Schizosaccharomyces pombe: one gene and its partners. The protein of the gene in region 2 purifies or fractionates together with the protein of the main gene of each other region. This does not show direct contact. Each region holds a gene or a part of one and is shown on either strand. Other genes may lie near its edges.

Region 1 (6,158 bases), on a different chromosome or scaffold from region 2:
CATTGTTTCTAAACTTAACTTTTTTCTTTTTTTTTTGTTAGTGGGTAAAGACGAGTTAAGGCTTTTTCTTTTTGTTTTCATTCTTAAATAATACAGTTTTGCAATCCAACATATACAAAGATTCTTACGACTTGCGTTATAATTTTAAAATATAATTGATCGATTTTTGATAGCATTACTTCTTTAAATCCGTCGCTTTTCATGAAATATTTGAATGCCGAATGCTATAAACATTTATAGATAGATACCTTTCGCCATTGAAACCGAATGAATTCTATAAGTTTCTTTGTCAGGTAATTTAATTACCTTTATTCTTAATCAATTTATTGGTTGAGTTATCTTTACATTACCCCAGTAGGTGTGGGTGCCAAGTAAACCTTCATCGATAGTATATCTAGTGAAATGGTGATAACAATACTGCATTGGATGATTGCTTGATACGTAAAGAAAATAATGAACATATATATACTTAACATTCTTACGAAAGTAATGGAAGAGAAAAATTAGAAATTACGTTGCGATATAATATATATTTTTTTAACTACAATATATATGTAATAACGGGCCCAAATTAGATGACAGGAAATTAGATGTAAGAAATCAATTCATAACGTAAGACATTGTTCAAAATTAAAAAAAAAAGAAAATTAGTGGGCAACTATTCAATGTTGCCCAATGTGCTCTTTGGAAACTAAGTATACACATATTCCTATAATAAACATAAAAAGGGAATAATTAAAGAGTTTAAAAGGTAAATGAAATAAATTATGGAAGGCATCATCTAGCATAACAAAGATATGCAAAATTAAAAAAATATAGATTTTTAAGCATGACATGAACAAATCAGCTGCATGCTTTTGTGACGCGTTAAAAATGATCGTTTGTTGAAAACAAAGCCATGTTTGCATAGAAATATTTTCAAAATAAATTAGAATTGGGCAACCAAGGTTCTAAAAGAGAAGGTCCCAATGAGTTAGCATCTTTGAGTGAGGAAGCAATAGGATCAGTTGATGTAAAATCCGTAATTTGTGAAAATAAATCATCCAATTCTTGAGAATGAGCGGCGAACTCATAATTGCCATTTGAGAACAAACTTTGAGAAAAACTATTAATGTCAACAAAGCCTTTACTTTGTTCGTCGCTTCTCCAGGTATTATTTTCAGTATGTCCAGAATTGGTAACACTAGACGAAGAGACGCATGTATAGCCAGAACTGCTGTTCAATCGACTCATTGCTGGGTAAGAAGTATGGCAATAAGGCGTAGATAAAAGTTCGGTCTCTTGGCCGTATAAATACGCAGTAGTGCTGCCTACACTGAGAGGAGTTCCTAGGTACTCAGCTCCATCAAAACCATAATGATCACCGGTATTCGGGGTTTTAGGTGATATACTGGCATTGGGGCAAGAGGGAGTTGAGGGTCGAGCATCAATAGGACTACAATGAGACAACACTTTATCGGCTGACAGCTCTGGACTATCAGAGTTACTTTGCTCACTCACGGTTCCTTTAGAATCAAATTTTGGAACTCTTCGAGCAGAGCAATTGCTTGAATTTTGAGGCAAGTTCGCCTCCAAGCTCGGTGTTTTTGACATTTGATAAGATTTGTCAACACAGCCATCAGATGACATTGATCTTTTCGGTACTATTCGGGCTTTATTAGCTAAACACACAGATTTTGTTCGCCCGATTGGACTACCGCTACTGGGTGATCTATAATAGATGCCCAAAGAACTAGGAGCTTGCTCGGATTTATCCAATGTAGAAATAGTTGTAGAAACTTGATCGGTGAAGGATAAGGAAGGAATTGTATGACTTCGAATCATTGGGGAAGACGAAAGACAAGACAATTCACTGGTTTCAATAAGATTCGATTTACCTGACTTTGGATATGAAAGAGCGGGAGCTAATAAAGCTGCTAAAGTTTCCTCCTCATTAACAGGCTTTTCGGGTTCGGTCTGTTTTAGAGTCTTAGAAGATTGTGCAATTTGCTGCAGTACAACGTAATCCGAGGCCACAAAAGATCCGGAAGAAGGTGATACCTTTTTATGGCGTCTACGAACAGTAGACCGCTTTTTAGGGGTGTACTTGTATTCGGGATTTTCCAGCATATGTTTCTGCCTTTCGAGGGCGGATAAATCAGAATAATACTTCTTGACTTGGGCACTTTCATTTCTCCACAGCTGACCAATGATACGTGAGATACTTTGGTGATTAGAAGTAGGAATTTCAGCTTGGCGATCTCGACGATAAAGCATAAAACTGTTTAAAGGTCGCTTAACAGAACTTTTTTGGTCCTTTTGCTCGGCTGTTAAAGAAGCAGACATTGTGTAGAGAAGAGTAAATATAAAAATTGTAGTAAAAGTAAGGGAGAAAATAAAACAAATGAAACGGTTCTTAGAATTAATTAGAAAGATGATTCAGTAAGAACAAAGCAAACATAAATGAAGTTCGCAGTCAGAAAGAACGAAGTAGAAAAGAAGCGAACAGCACAAACCGAGGGAGAGGGGATGAGATCAGAAAACAGTAAAGAAATAAACACCGAATAAAAACTGGTGTGAAGGATTTTTTTCTATTTAAAAAAAGAAAAATGGTATTAAGATAGAAAGAAATCTCAAACTAACAAGAATGAAAAATGAACAAATTATTCACAGTGAAGTAACAGATGAATATAGTAAAAGTAAAATTCCCTTGTATGTATCAACAAATAAATGAAAATAAAATTTCCGTCAATCTAGATATTAAACAAGCTTGTTCGCCAAAGAAATCAAGTTCAAGCTTAATGAATAGAGACTGACTGGACTAAAAAAAAGAAAAAAGTGACAAAAGTATATTTGATGCCAGGTTTTTCCTAAACGAAAAAAGTAAGGTAATGAAATAATAAATGAAACTAATGGAATTTCCAGCTCAAGAAGAAAAAAACAGAAGCAACACTCAAAGCCGATTTGAAAAATGTAAAGAAGCGTAGAAAAAAAAAGATGAAAGTTGAGACTGAAAAGTTACTAGATCGAGTTGGAATGATGAAGGATATTTTTCGTAAAGGCGATTGAATCAAGGATAACTTGAAAGAGACAATTAGTAGAGGTCCAAGTGGAAGAAGGAGTGAAAGTGATATATAATAGAAGGCCACAAGAAAAAAATTGAAGCTTTAAAAGTGATTTTCTTATAAGCCTAATTTTAAGTTGAGGAGATTTGAAAACGAGAACAAAATCACGAGCCTCTAAGGCTTTTTTTTCTCTATATAAAACGGAGGAAAAACTAAAAACAAGAAAGAGCGGAATAGTTAACAGGAAAAACAGACGAAACGGAAGACTAAATAACGGAAAAGTGAGTCAAATAAAAAGGCGTAACAAGGGAGAAATTTCAGAGACACCGATAACTGAAGAATGGTTGAGCTCTGTAAGATGGTGAAACTTTGGGTATACAAATAAAGTGAGGAATACCAATGAATACGTGAATAATGCGACAATGACAGGGGAGAAATAATGTTATAACATGAGCCAACAAAGACCGATGGTGAATGCAACTTAATTCTGAATGGTGTGTACTAATGGAATCACAAAAGAAACACGTTAAAAAAAGGATATTAAAATAAAATGAGGAATGAAAATCTAATAGATCAGATATCAAGGATAAGCAGCCAAGCGATAGAATAACGATGCGAATAAAAAAAATTTAAAGTTGGGCAAAAATTGCAACAAAGAAACAACTTAGTTAATTAGTAGAGAGAAAGTTGATAAAGGATAACTATGGTGGTAGAGACAAAGAAATATATAAAAAAATTTTGACGTAGAAAAAAAATAAAAAAAAGGGGGGGATTCGACGTACAGTAAGGGAATCGACGTAAAAATTAAAAAAAAAGATAAAATCCTTTTGATTTCAAGAAACGAAAAAATTATTCCAACACTTCTCAATTAACAATTCCAACAGAGGAGGATCCCAAAAGAACGTAGAGGCAAGAAAAACGAGAAAAGTTTGAAGAGAGAAGCGAAGCCAATTGGACCAACAAAATGAAGAAACAGAATAGAAGAAGAAAAAAAAGTTTAAGTCTGTTTACTATAAAGAAAAGAAGAGATGTGAATAAAAATTAATCAACAAATTAAACTTAGAAATAGTCAGTGAAAATAAGTCAAAGTAAAGTCAAAACAAAGAAAAGAATAGAGCTAAGCCAAAGCAAACCAAGATAAAGGAATAGACTTAACACGAATAGACAGGAAAGAATGGGAGGAGGCAAGCTAATTCAAAGACGACAAGCTGCAATCAAGACAAAGACCAGAAAAGTTAAGTTAAGTTGAGTAAAAAAAAAAAAGAAAACAAAGAGAAAACAAAAAAACGAGGCAAAAGCTCTCAAAGAAAAATAAAATGCAAACTAATCAAATGAAATACTTTCTTTTAGCATTCACAATCAGGTTTAAGATTGAAAAGTCAGAATGCTAATAATGCTTTGTTTATTTGATAATAAAGAAAATCCAATATACGACGCGAAACAATTCAACGCTGGATATCCTTTTAATATATGCTAAATGAATAGATTCTCACTATGTAAGTCACCAGGTATGTATGTATATATATATATATATACATACGCATTGGCAACCAACTAGTAAGAGTATAGAGCGAGGCGTAATACGCGATGTTACTGACAATGAAAATCAAACAAAGAAATTCAACTTTTTTAAGTCTAGCCAAAATGTGTATGAGGGGAAGGGACAAAATTCACAGGGGTTAAAGTAACATATGATGCGAAAGCATTTGTCACTTTTACTTGCCTACAAACGATGTAACACAGCAAACAAAGTCAGGGATTCCCCCCTGTACAAAAGATTAGTGTGGCACTTGGCAAAAAGTCTCGCAAAGCTACTTTTCGTTGAGGGAGATAGCGCAAGGCAAAATGACAAGAAGCCAACGACTAGTCTTCCAATGAATGAGGAATTGTAGAACGCTGGGGAAGTTGGAGAGTTAAGGAGGGGTGGAGAAAGCAAAATAGAGTAAGCGGGCATTTGAAGAGCGGCAATTTGCGAAACCGCAGGGTATTATAGGTAAGGTTTAAGCAAATGTTAAAAGAATAAAAAAGCATAGCGAATGTGTGAAAACAAGTGCCGGCAGTTTGAGTAGTAAGCAAGTGATGAGGAAGTAGTTTGGGGTGAACGGAACGGGAGTGAAATAAGAATGGCGAAGACTTGGAGTCATGATGAAAAATACAGGTACTACGAGCGGAAGGAAAGAAACCACACACATACAATGATTCTATCGAGTCATTGCCATTGGAATTTTGCTACAATTTACCGAAAATTAGGCGTGGGTGCTTGTGTTTCCCTTCCATCATCCCTGGAGATGGCATGCACCACAAATAATCTATCGCTACAGTGATAGACATGTAAGATGGAGAACAAGAATGTCGGAAAGGTAAGTGCTGTGGTAGTACAGGGTGATTTGCATAAGAATGACATTTTTTTAGCAAGATCATAAAATGGGAAACGCGATGGAAGAGACTATGTGAGACACAATGTATGCTGTAAAAGTATAATCTTATTATATTAAAAAAAGAACGACGAATAAATTGAGAAAGGTGAAAATTTCAAAAAAAAAATAAATGGAATGGAAAAAAGAAATAAAACCATTGAAAACGATAAAAGTCCAAAGACTAGACATTATTTTAGAGAAGGAAATGAATGCTACTTGAATTTGTGCAAAGTAGCTTTGACTTATGCAATGTAATAGAAAATAGGAATTGCCGCCAGATTAGCGTATGTGTGCGTACAACTTGAGATATGCGCTAATTTCCATTGCATATCACCCAATCGCACTATTAACCTGGGCTTTTGTAAGAATTGAGCGAGCGACCAGCAAAACAAGGTTGAGCTTAAAAGGTGGATGACCCGCCGAGTCAGAAAATGGCGGCCGGCAAGATGCAGAGAGGAAGGAGACGATAGGAAGGAGAGATGGGAGAAAGTAGAGGTAAAGATGAAGATGAAGATGTAGATTAGTTATAGATGAAGACGAGTTTTGAATGAAAAAGGTTACTACTGAACGATAACGAATTTAATTTGAAAACGAATATAATTTTTTGAAAACGACTATACTTTGAAAATAACCTAAACCGATAAATTTATAGCTAAAAACTTCACAAATTGTATTGTGGAATGTTTTCTTACATATC
Region 2 (6,310 bases):
ATAAAGCAAGTCTATGCGAATGAACTAGGAGATTACTCATTTCTCCAAGTAAAAAAATTTTCTTACCCTATTAAAAGCAATAGAACTGTTTTGATTTCCAAAAGAAATTCCAATGACAGTCTTGTATTCTTCGGAATCTGCCATTATAAAATTTTCGCTGAATGGGAGAGTTTTCGTTAGCTTCAGCTGCATCAGAATTTACGACCCGAATATAAGAAAGTAATAGTACAATGCGAAAACATGAAATTGTGAATAAATAAATAAATTGGTATATTAGTATATTATTAATTATTTTTTAAGTTAAAAAAAGCTTTTTTTTCTTGACATTAAAAAACATTGATAATTACTAGCTTTTTCATAAAATGTATATAAAAGATTCAATTTTTCGATGAATGTAATATCTTAATTGTAAATTAGTGATTTTTTAAACTTCTTCAAAACCATATTAAAAATTGGTTTTACAAATATCTATAGCAGAGTTACACGGCAAAGGAGAAGACTAAGCAAAGTGGCAGGTTTAGCAAAATATGTATAATAACCAAATTAAGTGTTGCTAATAGAAAGAAAAGTCTAATCAGGTAAAGTAATCAATAATAAATTATGTTAAAACTATAGGAAAACATGGTTTAAAACTCGTTCGGCGAATCCGTATGAATCTCGTTTTTGGTGCAAGAGTATAGATTAACTCTACTATCTGTGTTATCACCACATGCAAGTAATAAATGATGCGGGTGAAACTTCAGGCACATTAAACTGGATGGTTTAGGCTGATTAAGGAACCGTGGATTTTCACGGAAGGTATTAATATTCTGGCCTAACGTGTCCCAAATTTTTATGCTTTGATTTGAGGAACCGGTTGCATAAACTGGGGCGTGACTATGCACAGTTAAAGAGGTGAGTCCAGAGTTGTCTGTTGAAAAAGTCTGTAAAGAATGATTCATCCTAATATCCCATAGCTTAACTTCACCATCTGAACTCGCCGAAATCAATTCTCGCATTCCGGAGGATTGCATTTCAACATTGACGATCTCGGACGAATGTTCTTTCCAAACATCCGTTAGTGAATCTCTTGCAGGCAATCGTTTGTCGTAAACACGAAGAACTCCATCTGAAAATCCAGCAACTATAATATTACAACCGACCAAATCGCTAGTTAAACTTGTAATACTATTACTGCTTCTTACTGGTAGGTTTGCATAGCAGATTTCTTTAGAAGCATCCCATATTCGAATAACGCGTACGTCTCCAGCAACAAGCAAGTGCCCACAGTTCTGTTGCCAACTCATTAAAAGGCTAGCATTTCGATCTCCAAAGACAAGATCACTTAGAGAATTCCACGAAGTTACCAGTTCAACCTTTTCATTTTCGTAGTCACGATACAGTTTAATTGTGCCATCAGAAGACCCAGTCATCAATAAAGCAACATCATCTTCATTTAGTAATTGCATGTCGGTCACGTTAGTTGTCGCACTTGCTGAAGTTTTGAAAGAATTGAGGCAACGATTGCGACGCCAGTCCCATACCTGAATGATATCTTTGTCACCTAATGTAATTAACTGATCTTCAAATTGGTGAAACATAAGCTTCCTAGGAGCGATAGTATTATTAAATGTCATAAGTTGTTGATTCCAACGACCGTTGGTTGAGTATTCAGCAAGGGGACGAGTACGATAAATAAGTTTTTCGTTTCTGTTTCTTCTCCACAAACGTTGATTATAGCAAATACTTCCAGGTTCATCGTCTTCGTTCGGCCGCATTTGGGGTTCGGTAAAATACTTACGAGACCAATCAAATAAGTAACTTGTAAGCGGCATGTCTAGCTCGGATTGGTATTCAAGTTCATTAAATGCAGGTGGACCAGGAACTTTGGCGGAAGTTAAGTGATTTAAATTAGACTCTGCAGGTTTGTTTTCTCCATTTAAGGAAAGTAATTCAGAAGCGCGATCACTTCCTGCCAGGCTTAAAGCCAAGCCTTTCAACGATCTAGTCAGAGAGAATGACCTGTTCAAGATTTTGTTTTCTGAAACAGAAGGAACGAAGGGATGTGGCTTCGGGTCGCTCGTAACTGAATTAGTATCGGTATCTTTGGAAAGAGAAGCTTTATGGAGAGCAGGTAAGTGTTGCAGAAGAAATGCTAAAAATGATTCTCTTAATTCAGAATTTAGCATACTCTGATAAACGTAATTTATTATGGCTTCAGCTGCAAGAGAAATTTCGATGCTTGGATCTGCAGCCAAAACCAAAACAGCTTGCCAAACTGTTTCGTAAATTGTCGAAGCACTGATAGAATTGTGGTTCTTTTTCTCAAGGATATCTGCTAAACTGCTCTCATACGCAACTACCATTAATTGCTTCTTATAATTCACTACAAAGTGAGAAAGGAATATCACTAGTTCATGTCGAACTAATGGTGACGCATCAGAAAGAGCTGCTAACGCCGCAATTGCAATATAAGTTTCAACAGCAACGACTTCTTCGGTCTTCTCAGGAAATCCCAAAAAAGTGGTAAACGCTGTTAAAACTGATGCACGAACTTCAGGAACGGAGTCAACGATGATTTCAGCTAATTTTACATGTGCATTATCACGAGTTCCAGACCATTTAGCTTCAGAGTAATTTTCCCAAAGCTGAGAAATACATAGGCAAGCCCATTGTCTTAATAAAGAGTCGGGACTATTTAAATGGGAAAGACAATGTGATAAAACCTGTGGGTTTAAACAAGCTAGCTGGCCTTGTGGGAACCCACGACAAAAAACACTGAGGATGAACGCACACATTGCTCGGTGTTCGGAAATATTACTTGAAGGAAAAATGGAAGAATTAGGGTTCAAAATTTGGACAAAATATCCATAGCCATTGTCTTTTAGTAAGTCAGCTTGACAAGAATCATCTACAGCAAGGATTCTCGCCCAAATAAATACCAACACAGGCTTTAACTCAATAGCTGGAGACTGGAGAAGTTTCAAAACGTAAGGAAATATACCAATAGAGAGCGCTAAATCTACCGCCCACACCCCGAGATCCAGAAATTTTGAGAGAAGAATTAGTGCACGCAATCGATGAACTTGTGAAAGTAATACCTGCAAAACTAGCGGTAATTGATCCGGTGGCTTTCTGCTAATTAGTCCTTGAGAGAGCCATACCTCAAAGGCAGTTAATTGCTCACTAAAAAATGTCGAATGCTTGTACTCGTAGGCTATGCCTTTGCTTTCAGCATCAAGCATATCAGGTAACTGAGATAGACAATTATCAATGGCCAAATCCCAAGAATTCCACATAGGATGATCGTGGGTAGGGGGGAGTTCAGGACTGGACTGAGGATGACAGGAATGAACGAGCATTATACGTTCCGCTAATAGAAAGTTACGAAACAGTGCTGCTACCATAAGATCTTGCCTAAATAATCTTCTGAAAAGATGCTTTGGAAAGACATTCCAAGCAATCGTATCTGTAATAGCAGTAAATATCCAGTTTAATTCGCCTAATGGAGTACGCCGATCTTGCAAGCGACCGGGAATTTTAAGAAGCATATTCAAATTAAGCTTATTAGGAAACGGGTTTTGCAAGACATACCAACGAACCGAAATTTCAATTGGGGAGGTAAGGCAAGAAGTAAACAAATCAGCTGGCAGATCTGGGTTCATCGGAAGGGTTTCTTTAGGCCCACAAGCAGCAAGTTGAATACAACTAGTATGAGAAGGCATAGCGAGCACATTGGGATTTTGCTTAGCAATACGGAGAGCTTCTTTGTCTCTCTGCTCGGCAAAACGATTAAAATTCACTATGATATTCCCAGCTGCGCTACAATCGTAAACATATATACAAGGCGCTCCAAGCCAAGATTGTAAGTCATAAAGCGATACAGGAATGTATTGAGTATAATTTTTATTGAAAACCCAGATTTCACCAGAGGCAGTAGGCATTGGGACACCATGACCATTATAATGAAAAAGGATCCGTTCCTCTTTAGCGTTTCGTCTTTGACCAATGCAAAGTTTTTTGACTTCTTCAATTGCGGGATCAAGGTAATGCCTATATCTTGTTCTCATACTTAATGTTTCATATTGTTGCTGCAAGTTCTTGCCAATGGCTTCAAGTGCTTTAGAAGCAGGTAATGAAAACGGATCAATCCAACATTCATATTTCGCTGCAGGATTAGGCTTTATAACATCAGGAGGATCCACCCCTATGTTTAAGCAAACTAACAATGCTGCAGAAACAGTTTTAAGCCGTTCGCGCATTCTCCAATCATGAATTGTTTCAGTAGGTTCGGCATTCTTTTTGCTGATCACCCCCCGATGCCGTTTATCAGTGTAATACATGTAAAAGACCTGCTCTAACATGTTTATATATTCAGCATTGTTGTACTCTTCTTCAAAACCATGTCTAGGTTGCGGGAATCCGGACTGTATCCCATCTATCATTGAACTCGCTGTATCGACACCATTCTCTGTAGCAATGTTGCTGTTCTCTGTGTATCTATCGCTTCCGGTCTCGGTTGTTCCATAGCTTAAGACTGATCTACGAGCCCTTGAGCTACCAGATACTTCACTAATTCTATCATTCATGTCGCATAGCTCAAAATCAAATACAACATTTCAAGAACTCTTCCCTATGTACAAAAGGTCGGTAAATCAGGAACTCAAGGGAAACTTAATTAACAAAACAAAAAAAAATAAGAGAAAATTAAGATGACTCTGTATGTATATACGAATTACGCAAGTGATATAGGAGAAATGTCAAAGCAATTAAACCATGTAAGTTACGAACTTTTGCAGTGTTTTATGGGCATATTTCGTTATACTGTTTAACGCTCGTAAAATACTTCAGTAATCCACTTAAGAAATATAAAATACACAACACGTTATACTTTGGTAATAATCGAAACCTCCTACTAGCTAATTATTTATCTACTACATACATCCAGTACGTTCATTTAGTTCTCTATATCTGTATTTCTGCTAAATACAAGAGACTTTTGTAAAGAAGATGAGTTATTCTAAAAAAGATGATGATGGTGGTATGTTGATTGTTTGGAATTATGAGCTGACCTTTTAACAATAGACGAATCGATATTTGCCAATGTCAATCAAGTCACAGTAACTCAAGATGCTAGGGCTTTTAATTCATCTTCCATAAGCCCTAGAAAGAGTAGACGTCTTCTTAGCAAAATCGCCTACTTGATATATACGGGAGAGCATTTCCAGGAAAAGCAAGCTACAGAACTCTTTTTTGGTATTACTAAACTTTTCCAACACAAAGACCCTAGTCTTCGCCAATTTGTTTATATTATTATCAAGGAGCTTTCCGTTGTTGCTGAAGATGTGATTATGATTACCAGTAGTATCATGAAAGACACCGCTACGGGACGTGAAACTATATACCGTCCTAATGCTATTCGCTCTTTGATTCGTGTCATTGATGCTAACACTGTCCCTGCGATTGAACGCATTTTAACTACGGGTATTGTTGACCCCATATCAGCTGTTGCCAGCGCTGCTCTTGTTTCCGCATATCATTTATATCCTGTTGCGAAAGACATTGTATCGCGTTGGAACAACGAGGTTCAAGACGCGGTCACATCTCATAATGTTGGTAGAAAAGTTGCTAGCTCTCCTTTTTTCACCTCTACCTTGGGTTACACACCAAATGCCAGCGGCATTTCTCAATATCATGCTTTAGGTCTTCTGTACCGTATTCGAAGACATGATTCGATTGCAATGAATAAGTTATTGCAGCTGCTTGTAAGCAATTTAGGAACAGTCTCAAATTCTCATGCATTTGTTATGCTTATCCGCTACATTTCTAGTCTAATGGATCAAAACACTCAATTTAGAGACCAGATGGTTCCATTTCTACATGGGTGGTTAAAAAGTAAAGGAGACATGGTAAACTTAGAAGTTGCTAGAAATATGGTCCGTCTCAAAAATATCTCAGATGATGACTTGCAACCTGTGGTTAGCGTTCTTAAAATTTTCTTGTCGTCTCACCGATCCGCTACCCGATTTTCAGCTATTCGTACGCTTAACGAGTTAGCCATGACACGTCCACACTTAGTACATTCCTGCAATCTTAATATCGAGTCTTTAATTACCGACGTGAATCGCTCCATTGCCACCTACGCTATCACAACACTTCTAAAGACTGGTAATGATGAGTCTGTCGACCGTTTGATGAAACAGATTGTTACCTTTATGTCCGATATTTCAGATAATTTCAAAATTATCGTCGTTGATGCCATTCGTTCTTTATGTCTAAAATTTCCTCGCAAGCAAGATTCAATGCTTACCTTTCTTAGTAATATACTTTG
Region 3 (7,692 bases), on a different chromosome or scaffold from region 2:
AGCTTTACTCTGTTGTCTCATAAAAAAAGATATAGAAAGATATTGTATAGCAGTGTTTTGTAGTAGGAAGTAATTGGTCAAAGAGTTTTCTTGGTCCATCACGGATCGCTCACCAAGTACATCTTTCAAAGTAAAATTTATGATTTCATCATAATCATTTACCAATCTAGTCCTATCATACGTGTTAATAAAAACATTTTTTAAAAATTCGAAATCCACTTTTATAGCATATTTTTCGGGAAATGAAGTCCTCAAATAACATTTACTACACAAGGACTTAAGTGAATTGAAGGAAAGAAAAGACGTAATTTCCTCCAATTTTTGTCGCTGTTGTAAAGAGGTTTGTGTGCAAAATACCAGATCCCCTAATTCCTTCTGAAAATCCGAAAATAAAGTTAACTGTAAGTGGTAGTACACAAGCTCATCATTTCTGATTTTTTGTTCTTTCTCATATTCGTTACCTCTGGTATTATCAAAAGGGAATTTCAAAACATAGTTTAAGTCGTCTGTCATTTTTTTAAAAAGCTCATTACTGTCGTAATACAAAGACATTCTTAATGCGGTATAAAAACAACTGTCTTCTATTACGGGATGAGCAAAGCGACGTGTGGGAAATGCGGATAGTAAAACCAAAGACATATTGATAATTGCTAAAAGGGGGGTTACTTTCGCTTCTTGTTTTTCAGTTTGAGCGTAGCTAATCGATTTAATAAGCAGAGAATGAATCCAGCGGGAAAGTAAATTATGTAAAGGGAACTTTTCAACGATAGACGGTCGTTTTTCCTTATAAGAATCAAAGGCTTTCGTCAGAGAGCTTGAGTCATGTAGTAAATATTTTACTTTATCAAGATTATCAAGCGAATTTAAAATAGAAATGTTCGTTAACTGGTAAACAAGTTTCCTTAATTTCTCTATATTCGAAAACTGAAAACAGAGAGTAATGAATTGAATCATGTAAACCACTTCTGATAAATTTAAGGATAAAGAGACTTCAATTACTTTTTCAAAAAATAATTGAAACCGATTTTCATCAATGAGGTCCCATGTAATATATTCATATTTGGATTTGTATAATAGAAGCATACAAGTTAAGTTTATATGGTTCAATGACATCTCAGTATTAACCCTCTGCCAAAGGAAATTCTCAAAAAGCTTTAACTCATGTAACAGACTAAGTACTTGCTTAGCATCTTTACTTACAATGACAGCTTCGAGGATGCATTGTAGCATAGTTTCTTGAAATTCTACACCTTCATTTTGACCCCAATTCGAATTTGCATAATTAATGATTTGTTTTTTTTTGTTTTTATACAGAACCATTTAATAGAGAAAGGGATATTAGCAATATCACAAGTGTTGTGAACTTGGTGGTTAGCGTCAGAATCTTTAACAGCGATTCTTATTTGTTCTCCTCTATGAGCTTTGAGAAAAATGTAAAGTAAAAAACTTAAAGTAATACTTCGAAAATAAAATTTAGATAATCAACACTCGTTTTTGGTATTTTACCAAAGTTCCTAAGTTTAGACTTTTTTTAATAAAACTTGGATTTTTTGAGAACACTAAATATTAACTTGTATATCTATTACAAATAATTAATCGTCATAAAAATATTACTTTTTCAATCGTGTTTCTATTGATCTCCTCTCTGCGTATACTAAGAATTAGGTGCAAAAGTACAGCAGGTGCTTGTTTGGTCACCACCAACCACATTTAATAATTTTGTTTAATTGAGAGAATGATGCTAATTTAAGCTGTATATAATGAAAGAATTTCCTGGGTTGAAAAGCAGGAATGAAGAAATTCGCAATAAAGCGGCAAATGATCTTTATGAATATGTTATAGCTTATTCTCGAGAATTATCGGGCGAAGCTTTAGTTCAGTTTAACAATGATGTTAACAAGTACGTTTATACTTTAATTCACAGTACCGATCCACTCGATCGTCTGGCAGGCGTAACTGCCATAAATCGTCTAATTGATTATGAAGGAGAAGATACTACAAGGATTACTAGATTTGCAAATTATTTGCGTATTATTCTTCCAGGAACTGACCAAAAAGCCACCGTTCTTGCTGCAAAAGCTTTAGGGAGACTTGCAGTTCCTGGAGGTGCTCTAACTTCTGAATTTGTGAACTTCGAAGTTAAACGCGCTTTGGAATGGCTTCAAGGAGAACGTAATGAAAATCGTAGATATGCAGCAGTGCTTATACTTAAGGAGCTTGCCAAAAATACGTCTACATTAATCTATGCTCATATCGATTCAATTTTTGAGCTTTTATGGCATGGACTTCGGGATCCAAAAGTTACTATTCGAATAGCTTCGGCTGATGCGTTGAGTGAGTTCTTGAAAATCGTTAGGCAAAGGGATTCATCCATCCGTCTCCAATGGTATACAAGTATTCTCAATGAAGCTCAACGTGGTGTTGCACAGGGTTCTTCTGATTACATTCATGGTAGTTTACTAGTATATCGCCAATTATTTTTAAAAGCTGGAATGTTTATGCATGAGAGGTATCGAGAAGTATCGGACATTATATTGCAATTCAGAGATCACAAAGATTTGCTTATTCGCAAAACCGTTACAGAATTGATTGCTACACTCGCAGCTTATAATCCAGATGAATTTGTTTCCAATTATTTACACGTTTGTATGCTCCATCTACTTAATCTATTAAAAAAAGAAAATGTTAAGATGTTGGCGTTTGCCACTATTGGAAAAGTTGCCGTGGCTATTACTAATAGCATAATCCCATATCTTGACCCCATATGCGATTCAATCAAGGAAAGTCTAAAAATCCATATCCGTAATAAAAGTGCTTCGGATGCTGCAATTTTTCAATGCATTAGCCTACTTTCTATAGCACTAGGACAAGCCTTTTCAAACTATGCGTATGACCTCTTTGACTTAATATTTGCAAGCGGACTTTCTGAGGCTTCTTACCGTGCTCTCTCAGATCTGGCCCATAATATACCTCCATTATTACCAGTCATACAGGAACGACTATTAGATATGCTCAGCAAAATTCTAAGTGGTCGTCCTTTTATTCCTCCAGGATGTCCTCCCCAATATGTAGCAAGATCTTTAAAATCTTCAAAGAGTGCTTCCCTGAAGACAGGATTTTTTCCCAATGACGTCTATATTTTGGCTCTAAAAGTTTTGGGAAATTTTGACTTCTCCGGTTATATTCTTAATGAATTTGTGAAGGATTGTGTAGTTGTATACCTTGAAAACAATGACCCGGAAGTACGCAAAACCGCCTCCATAACCTGCTCCCAACTATTTGCTCGTGATCCTATTTTATCGCAGACTAGTGATCATGCGATTCAAGTAGTTGCCGAAGTGCTAGAAAAGCTTCTAACAGTTGGTATTTGCGATACTGTTCCAGATATTCGGCTAACTGTTCTTAATTCTCTCGATTCTCGCTTTAACAAGCATTTAGCCCAAGCAGATAAAATTCGTTTACTTTTTATTGCTATTAATGATGAAAACTTTGCTGTACGAGAATCTGCATTACGGATAATTGGAAGACTAAATGTCTATAACCCTGCCTATGTGATGCCATATTTAAGGAAAATAATGTTAAAAACTTTAACAATATTGGACTATTCTACAATTATCAGAACTAAAGAAGAGAATGCCAAGTTATTGTGTTTATTAATTGCAGCAGCTCCTCGCTTAATAGAGTCACATGTGGAACCAATACTGCAAATACTTTTACCCAAAGCTAAAGATTCTAGTTCAATTGTGGCAGCTAGTATTGTTAATTCGCTTGGTGAAATATGCCAAATCAGCGGTGAGGTTATTGTTCCTTTTATTAAAGACTTAATGCCGCTAATAATTGAGGCTTTGCAGGACCAAAGTTCTCCTATTAGGAGAGCAGCGGCTTTAAAGGCTTTGGGTAATTTATCAAGCAGCACCGGATATGTAATTGATCCGTATATTGAATTCCCTTCTTTACTTGATATACTTATTGGCATAACGAAAACCGAACAAGATATTACTATTCGTCGAGAGACTATTAAACTAATAGGTACACTTGGTGCTTTAGATCCCAATAGGCATCGTGTTTTAGAAAAGGGAACAGAAAAAGTAGTTCCAGAACAGAAAAACATTCCTCCTGACATTTCTTTGCTGATGTCGGGCATTGGTCCATCATCCGATGAATATTACCCCACAGTCGTGATTACTGCTTTGATGAGTATATTAAAAGACCCGTCCTTAACTATTCACCATACTGCTGTTATTCAAGCTGTAATGTATATATTCAAGACCATGGGTCTCAGATGTGCCCCCTTTCTTTCCCAAATTATTCCAGAATTTATCGCAGTTATGAGAACGTGTCCTACGAACATATTGGAGTTTTATTTTCAGCAACTAAGTATTTTGGTCCTTATTGTTCGTCAGCACATACGAAGTTTTTTACCAGATTTATTTAAGCTTATCAAAGATTTTTGGAACCCGCATTCTAATTTACAATTTACAATTTTGTCGCTAATTGAATCACTGGCTAGAGCAATGCAGGGAGAGTTCAAGCCATACTTACCATCTTTATTAGTAATGATGCTACAAATATTTGACTCTGATGTATCAGTGGACTCAGTCAGTACAAAAAAGGTATTGCACGCATTCATCGTCTTCGGTGATACATTAGCTGATTATTTTCATATGCTCTTGGATCCAATACTTCGACTGTATGAGCGAAATGATGTTTCAATCGGTATAAAAGAAAGTATAATGATTACAATTGGACGACTTTCAATGGTTATTAATCTCTCGGAATATGCATCAAGAATTATACATCCTGTTATGCGTATGCTTTCGTGCAACAATGCCTCTCTCATTCGCGTGAGTATGGATACTGTATGTGCGCTTATATATCAACTTAATGTTGATTTTGCTATTTTCATTCCAATGATTGATAAGTGCCTTAAGATGAATGGCGTTACTCATGAAACCTACTCGATACTTGTTGAACAATTTTTACAAGAACAGCCTCTTCCTATAAAACTCAACCCTTATGAAAAATACGATAAGCCTAAATTAGATGTGGTAGCTTCCGCTGCTGATATAACCTCTAAAAAGCTTCCTGTAAATCAAGAAATCCTCAGAAATGCGTGGGAAGCATCTCAACGATCGACTAAGGATGACTGGCAAGAATGGATCCGACGATTAGGCGTAGCTCTCTTAAGAGAATCACCTTCACATGCCTTACGAGCATGTGCTGCTTTGGCTGCTGCCTATCAACCTTTAGCCAGGGACTTATTTAACGCTAGTTTTGTTTCTTGTTGGTCTGAATTATATGATCACTTTCAAGAAGAATTAGTTAAGTCGATTGAGATAGCTTTAACGTCGCCACACATATCTCCTGAAATTATTCAGATTTTACTCAATCTTGCGGAATTTATGGAGCATGATGATAAACCACTTCCGATTGATATTCGTACTTTGGGTGCCTATGCAGCTAAATGCCATGCGTTTGCTAAGGCTTTACATTACAAGGAGCTAGAATTCATTGAAGAAGAATTGGTGACAAAACCTTCGGTTGATACAATTGAGGCCCTAATTTCAATCAATAATCAACTCCAACAACCAGACGCAGCTATTGGAATACTTAAACATGCTCAGCAGCATGACAAAATGAATCTTAAAGAAACTTGGTACGAAAAGTTACAAAGGTGGGAAGATGCTCTGTCAGCTTATGAAAAAAGAGAAGCTGCTGGCGCTGGCAATTTCGAAATAACGATGGGCAAACTTCGTTGTTTACACGCTTTGGGTGAATGGGATCGATTATCTCAGTTAGCTCAAGAAAATTGGATTCATGCTGGTCATGATGCGCGACGGTATATTGCACCGCTTTCCGTAGCCGCTGCTTGGGGGTTAGGTCAATGGGAGCAAATGGATGAATATATTTCTGTTATGAAGTCTGAGTCACCAGATAAAGCTTTTTTTAACGCGATTGTGGCTCTACATCGATCACAATTTGAAGAAGCAGCTTCTTATATCACCAGAGCTCGAGATTTACTTGATACTGAGCTTACTGCGCTTGTTGGTGAAAGTTATAATAGGGCTTACAGCGTTGCTGTCCGTGTTCAAATGTTATCCGAATTAGAAGAAATCATTACCTATAAAAAAGCCGAGGACAAACCCGAAGTTCGTGAAATGATAAAGAAGACATGGGTTAGACGTTTGAAAGGCTGTCAGAGAAATGTGGATGTTTGGCAAAGAATGTTAAGAATACGATCTTTAGTTATTTCACCCCGTGATAACATGGAGATGTGGATCAAATTCGCTAATCTCTGCAGAAAATCTGGTAGGATCAGTCTAGCGAAAAAATCACTTAATTTACTCCTTGAAGACGACGAAAACTTAGATAATTCACTCGTCTTAAAGAAGACTCACCCTTCAATTGTCTATGCAAATCTAAAGTTTTTGTGGGCTGTTGACGATAAAAGGAAGGCTCTTAATAGCATGCAAGAGTTTACTTCTCAGCTAATTTCTGACATTAATGTTGACCCTGCTCTTTTTGTTCAATCTACATCAGTTAATACTCAAAAATCACAAGAAGAAATTCAATATTATTTTCATCTTCTAGCTAGATGTTATCACAAGCAAGGTCAATGGCAGCAAGAAATTGAGAATAATTGGTCAGAAGGATCTTTTGATGGAGTTCTTCAATCATATATGTATGCTACGCAATTTGATTCTAAATGGTATAAAGCTTGGCACTCTTGGGCATTAGCTAATTTCGAAGCTGTAAAGTTTTTGGAGCAATCAGAGGAGCAAATCCCAAGTGCTGCATATGAGCAGTATATTATTCCAGCAGTCAAAGGCTTTTTTAAGTCAATTGCTTTAAGCAAAGGTAACCTTCAGGACACCTTGCGCCTTCTTAATCTTTGGTTTAAATTCGGCAATAATAGCAATGTAATTAATACTTTGAACGTTGGTATATCCACTGTGAACATCGATATCTGGCTGGACGTTATACCTCAGCTTATTGCGAGAATTCATGCCTCCTCTTTGAGTGTTCGTAAATCTGTGCATCAGTTGCTTTCCGATGTAGGTCGCGCGCATCCCCAAGCTCTTGTTTATCCTTTAACTGTAGCAGCAAAATCGCAGAGTTCTGCTAGGCAAAACGCTGCTTTAGCAATTATGGATTCCTTGAAAACACATAGTCCACGTCTAGTTGAACAAGCAAGACTTGTTAGTCATGAGCTTATCAGAGCTGCAATCCTTTGGCATGAACAATGGCATGAAGGATTGGAAGAGGCTTCACGATTGTATTTTGGTGATCATAACATTGAGGGTATGTTTGCCGTGTTGAGACCATTGCATGAAATGTTGGAACGTGGTCCGGAAACGCTTCGTGAAATTTCTTTCCAACAAGCCTTTGGACGTGACTTAGTCGAAGCAAGGGATTGTTGTATCCGTTTTGAGCAAACTGGTGATATATCAGACTTAAATCAGGCCTGGGACTTATATTACCAAGTTTTCAAGAAAATTCGTAAACAGCTACCTCAGTTGACAACATTAGATTTACAATACGTTTCTCCTAAACTCTTACATGTACATGATCTTGAGTTAGCTGTTCCGGGAACATACGTTAGCGGGAAACCTGTTATAAGAATTGTAAAGTTTTACCCTACATTCAACGTGATAACATCTAAGCAACGTCCGAGACGACTGAGTATTAAAG
Region 4 (3,700 bases), on a different chromosome or scaffold from region 2:
CAATCGATCATCGTAAGGACCACTTCCGCGTCGTCGAATAGCAGATGCTCTCCAGTGGTAAATACCAAGAGCATAACCCATGGTACCAATAGCAACAATAGTGAAAAGTCCTGCACTAATCTTACCAATTCGATCACCAAAGTTAAGTAAACCAACTGACAAACCACCCAAAACTACTGCAAAGCTCAACCAAGAAAGGAAAGTACGTTCATTAGCGAAAAAAACTTTAGGTTCAACACGAACAGGAAGAGCAATTCTTTTACCAGGAGTAGTTTGTAAAAGAGGTTGAGTAGACATTGTTAGTGGAAAGAGTGAGCTATAAATCGAAGGTTTTTTCTCCTCGCGAGATTAAGTATGTGCTGGCTGTGAGTTGTGGTTAAGGTCAGCTGTGTCGAACGGCCTAGAAATTTTTTTCGTATCTTACTACGGTAAGTCTCGGTAAGTTAATTAGCAGATTTAGCGAGACTAAATTCTTCAAATTTTGCATTATCAAATTCGCTTCTTCGCTAACCAGAAAGCTAATGAAGATATACATTTCATTTCATTTAAGGACACGAGGATATGTAACTTTTCCTACTTAATCCTATCATGTTTAGAGATAAAAGTTGTAAAATAAGTTAAACTACACTAATAAGCATTGAAAATTTTCAAAAGTTATCATCACTTAAGACTATTATTTATCATAAAAACTCCGAGATATGAAACTAGCAAATACTGTATCAAGGGAAGAATATAATTTATAAAAAATTTGTAAGTGACTAAGAAATCGTCTTGAAATCAGACACACTTAATATAAACGAATGTTGACAAGACAAGACTCTTGTTTTCCTAAGAAGATTGGTGAATAAAATCTATATAGCAAAGGTAAAATAGGATAAAGGCGTGTAATAAACTTGAATATATAGAAGTAATTTTCCAACATCAGTTGAGCTAAAAATACAACAAAACATAACTCGTAAACTTATTTTGAAAAATGCTTTGAAACACTTAAATTTGGTAGTCATTAAGAGCAACACAAACAGCAGCTTTGTGATGACCCGAATACTGACGGATTGTTTCACCACTCGATAACTCCCAAAGCCTTGCAACATGATCAGAAGATGCGGTTACTAAGTAGGTAGAATCAGCAGAAAACGCACAATCCCAAACCCATCTTTGATGCCCTTGAAGTCGTCTCTCAAGCATAAATGACATATCCTCCGTACTCCATATATTCACTGTAGCATCGGCAGAACATGTAGCAAGGTGTTTGACATCAGGAGACAAGACGCAGCGAGTGATATAACGCTGATGAGCTTGAAATTTGACAACGGGCTGAAGCAATGAAGCACCCTGATGATTTAGCATTCGCCAAACGTAGCAGTTTCCTTTGTTGTTCCCAGCAATAAGCATACTACCATCAGATCCAACAGTAATGCTGCTCATAGGTACATCTTCTTCCGGAATAAGTTCGTGTGTACAAGAATTCTCTCCTAAATCCCATGCACGAACTCGTCCACTTTGGTCGCATGAAAGCAGTTCACCTTGATTTGGATGAATTAACAAGTCATTAACAGGAGATTTATGATCATAGTTTCGCTGAACTGAAGGGGCTCTCATATCCCACACCTTTACTGTTCCATCCTCGCTCGATGTGGCAAGCCATTTACCATCACAATGAAAAGCGATGGCTGTAACATTATTGGTGTGCCCTTCAAAGGTCATTAATGGCATTTGACTACTAGTGTTTATGTCGTACAATCTTACATGAGGATTTCCGGCGGCTGCTAGAAACTTCTTATCAGGTGAAATACATAAACGATTTACCTGAGAGTCCGCATGTTGTATTGTTCTCGAGCATATTCCACTTAGGGCTTCCCAAAATCTAATGGTATGGTCATATCCACTGCTGACGAGCAGAACAGAATGTTGTGGTGGATACTGTACTGACATGTGGTTAAAGAATGGAGCGCTGTTATACTGTAGTTATTAAACAAACTCGAATACAGAGAGAATTAATGACTGAAAATTTTTAAAATCAATTAAATATGTTTATATTATATATTTAGTAAATTTTTTGTAGCATGACTTGTAAACGCACGATTGGCGATCTATACTTTAAATCTACAGCCATCAAAACTTTAAAAAATTTAACAGTTTTGACCATAAAAACAGGAAAATTCATAGAATAATAGTAAATTCATGTTAATTTAATTTTTTAAAAAATTGCGCCTGCAATAAGTAGCATAAGCATAAGTGTAAAGATAAACTGGTATAACTAAAATATTATACAGGACGAAAGGTTAAGGCAAATTTTTAAGCAACAAAGACATCATTGCTGAGTTGAACGACATTTAAACCTAGATAAATGTCGATTTGTAAATAGTTTATAATAACTATCCTAACTATTAAAACCAACAAGGTTCCGAAAGACGTATAACAGAAACGGACAATAATGGATAAAAAAGATCATAAAAGCAAAATATGGTTTAAAATTCTGAAAGCCAAAATTATTTACGCTTTCGGTGCATGTGTTGCAAGTTGAGAAGTAGTGCTCTATTAAAGTCCCATTCAGAGAGCAAATCTTTGAGCAGTAAACCAACTTGATCATATTCATCCATAGCATATGTCTGCATAGCTGTATTGTCTCCTTCTTGAATATATGAGCTGATAGACTCATGAGTTTCCATCATTACAGAGTGCAACTCGTTAAAAAGACTGCGCAAATTTTCTTTGCACATGATCCTGGGGAAAGGTTTGCTAGTAGTGTTATGTTGATTACGGTTGACCGATTCAACTGAAAACTTTAAGATGTCAACGAGACGAACCATCGACACAGACAATGCATTAGAGAGGTCACCTACCTCCCGGTGAACAATGAGCCATGAAGACCTTTCAGCTAAAAATGAATCAACCGGAAACGATAGTATGCAACATAGAACTTGCTTAGAGATTATAGTTAATTCATAATAAGCAGTTTTGATGTGATTGAGAATTTGGGTGGATTGGTCATCAAAGTCTTGGTTTTCTTTACGGGCTAGGTACATGGAACTCCGTTTTAAGCTTGTTGAGGAACCTTTTCGGAGGTCAAACGAATTTAATTTACCAAAGCAATTTGGAAGTCTATATAGTGATAATAGGTTTCTAAGGTTGGAAGCAGCTGCATACGGATATATTCTTGACAGAACCAGCTGGTATCTAGGTAAAAGCTTCTCATACAAACCAGACAGTTCGTAACTTAAAGTATTTTGTTCCGTAAGATTAAACAATAAAGGATCATTGGCAGGAAGGAAGTCCATTAACCGGGAGCGATTTGCTGCCGAATTTGCTTCCAATTCACAAATTTGGGAGTAAACACGATTAGATGTAGTTTCAAAATCATGCAATAGATTGACAAACTTATTTAAGCTGGATAATCCCATAATACGAATAAAATATGTCCAGCAATGACAAATCCGTATGAGCGAAGAGAAGCAAATATAAGATAAGGCTATTATCTTCACAAACTTTAGATAATGAAGACTTGCCATTGCAGATGATAATTTGTATAAAACAAAATCTATTACAATTTGTAAGCTCAGCAGATAGGCGAAGTATCTCCAAAACTTGCTCGTAGAACTGAACGATGAAGAAGGATAAACCAAAGAAGGCTGTTCTTCATGATGTGACCGCTGTAGCTCGTGATCTCCTACGAGGAGTTCAGATGTATAAATAATGTACT

Evidence for each region.
Region 1: the proteins of mip1 (region 2) and ste11 purify together in Schizosaccharomyces pombe (affinity purification with western blotting, with the first as the bait; one study listed by BioGRID). This does not show direct contact.
Region 3: the proteins of mip1 (region 2) and tor2 purify together in Schizosaccharomyces pombe (affinity purification with western blotting; 5 studies listed by BioGRID, with this or other methods). This does not show direct contact.
Region 4: the proteins of mip1 (region 2) and wat1 purify together in Schizosaccharomyces pombe (affinity purification with mass spectrometry, with the first as the bait; one study listed by BioGRID). This does not show direct contact.

What each region holds. Positions count from the first base shown.
Region 1 is NC_003423.3:3,981,753-3,987,910, reverse strand, and holds ste11 (DNA-binding transcription factor Ste11), read right to left. Parts: upstream 4,536-6,158; 5' UTR 2,326-4,535; coding exon 919-2,325; 3' UTR 511-918; downstream 1-510. UniProt on the Schizosaccharomyces pombe protein: Key transcription factor for sexual development. Activates the transcription of the matp, matm, mei2, mfm, ste6 and rgs1 genes. Binds specifically to a DNA fragment carrying a 10-base motif 5'-TTCTTTGTTY-3'.
Region 2 is NC_003424.3:1,516,723-1,523,032, forward strand, and holds mip1 (WD repeat-containing protein), read right to left. Parts: upstream 4,721-6,310; 5' UTR 4,569-4,720; coding exon 627-4,568; 3' UTR 501-626; downstream 1-500. Other genes in the region: ssz1 (putative heat shock protein Pdr13), read right to left, coding at 67-144; coatomer gamma subunit Sec21, read left to right, coding at 4,990-5,020, 5,065-6,310. UniProt on the Schizosaccharomyces pombe protein: Component of TORC1, which regulates multiple cellular processes to control cell growth in response to environmental signals. Tor2 is essential for growth. Nutrient limitation and environmental stress signals cause inactivation of TORC1.
Region 3 is NC_003423.3:916,353-924,044, reverse strand, and holds the start of tor2 (TORC1 serine/threonine protein kinase Tor2), read left to right. Parts: upstream 1-1,692; 5' UTR 1,693-1,760; coding exon 1,761-7,692. Other genes in the region: protein Cwf11, read right to left, coding at 1-1,320.
Region 4 is NC_003423.3:1,661,179-1,664,878, reverse strand, and holds wat1 (TORC1/2 complex WD repeat protein Wat1/Lst8), read right to left. Parts: upstream 1,939-3,700; 5' UTR 1,933-1,938; coding exon 988-1,932; 3' UTR 519-987; downstream 1-518. Other genes in the region: vacuolar transporter chaperone (VTC) complex, GTPase regulator subunit Nrf1, read right to left, coding at 1-297; myosin-binding vezatin family protein Inp2, read right to left, coding at 2,490-3,700. UniProt on the Schizosaccharomyces pombe protein: component of both TORC1 and TORC2, which regulate multiple cellular processes to control cell growth in response to environmental signals. Nutrient limitation and environmental stress signals cause inactivation of TORC1.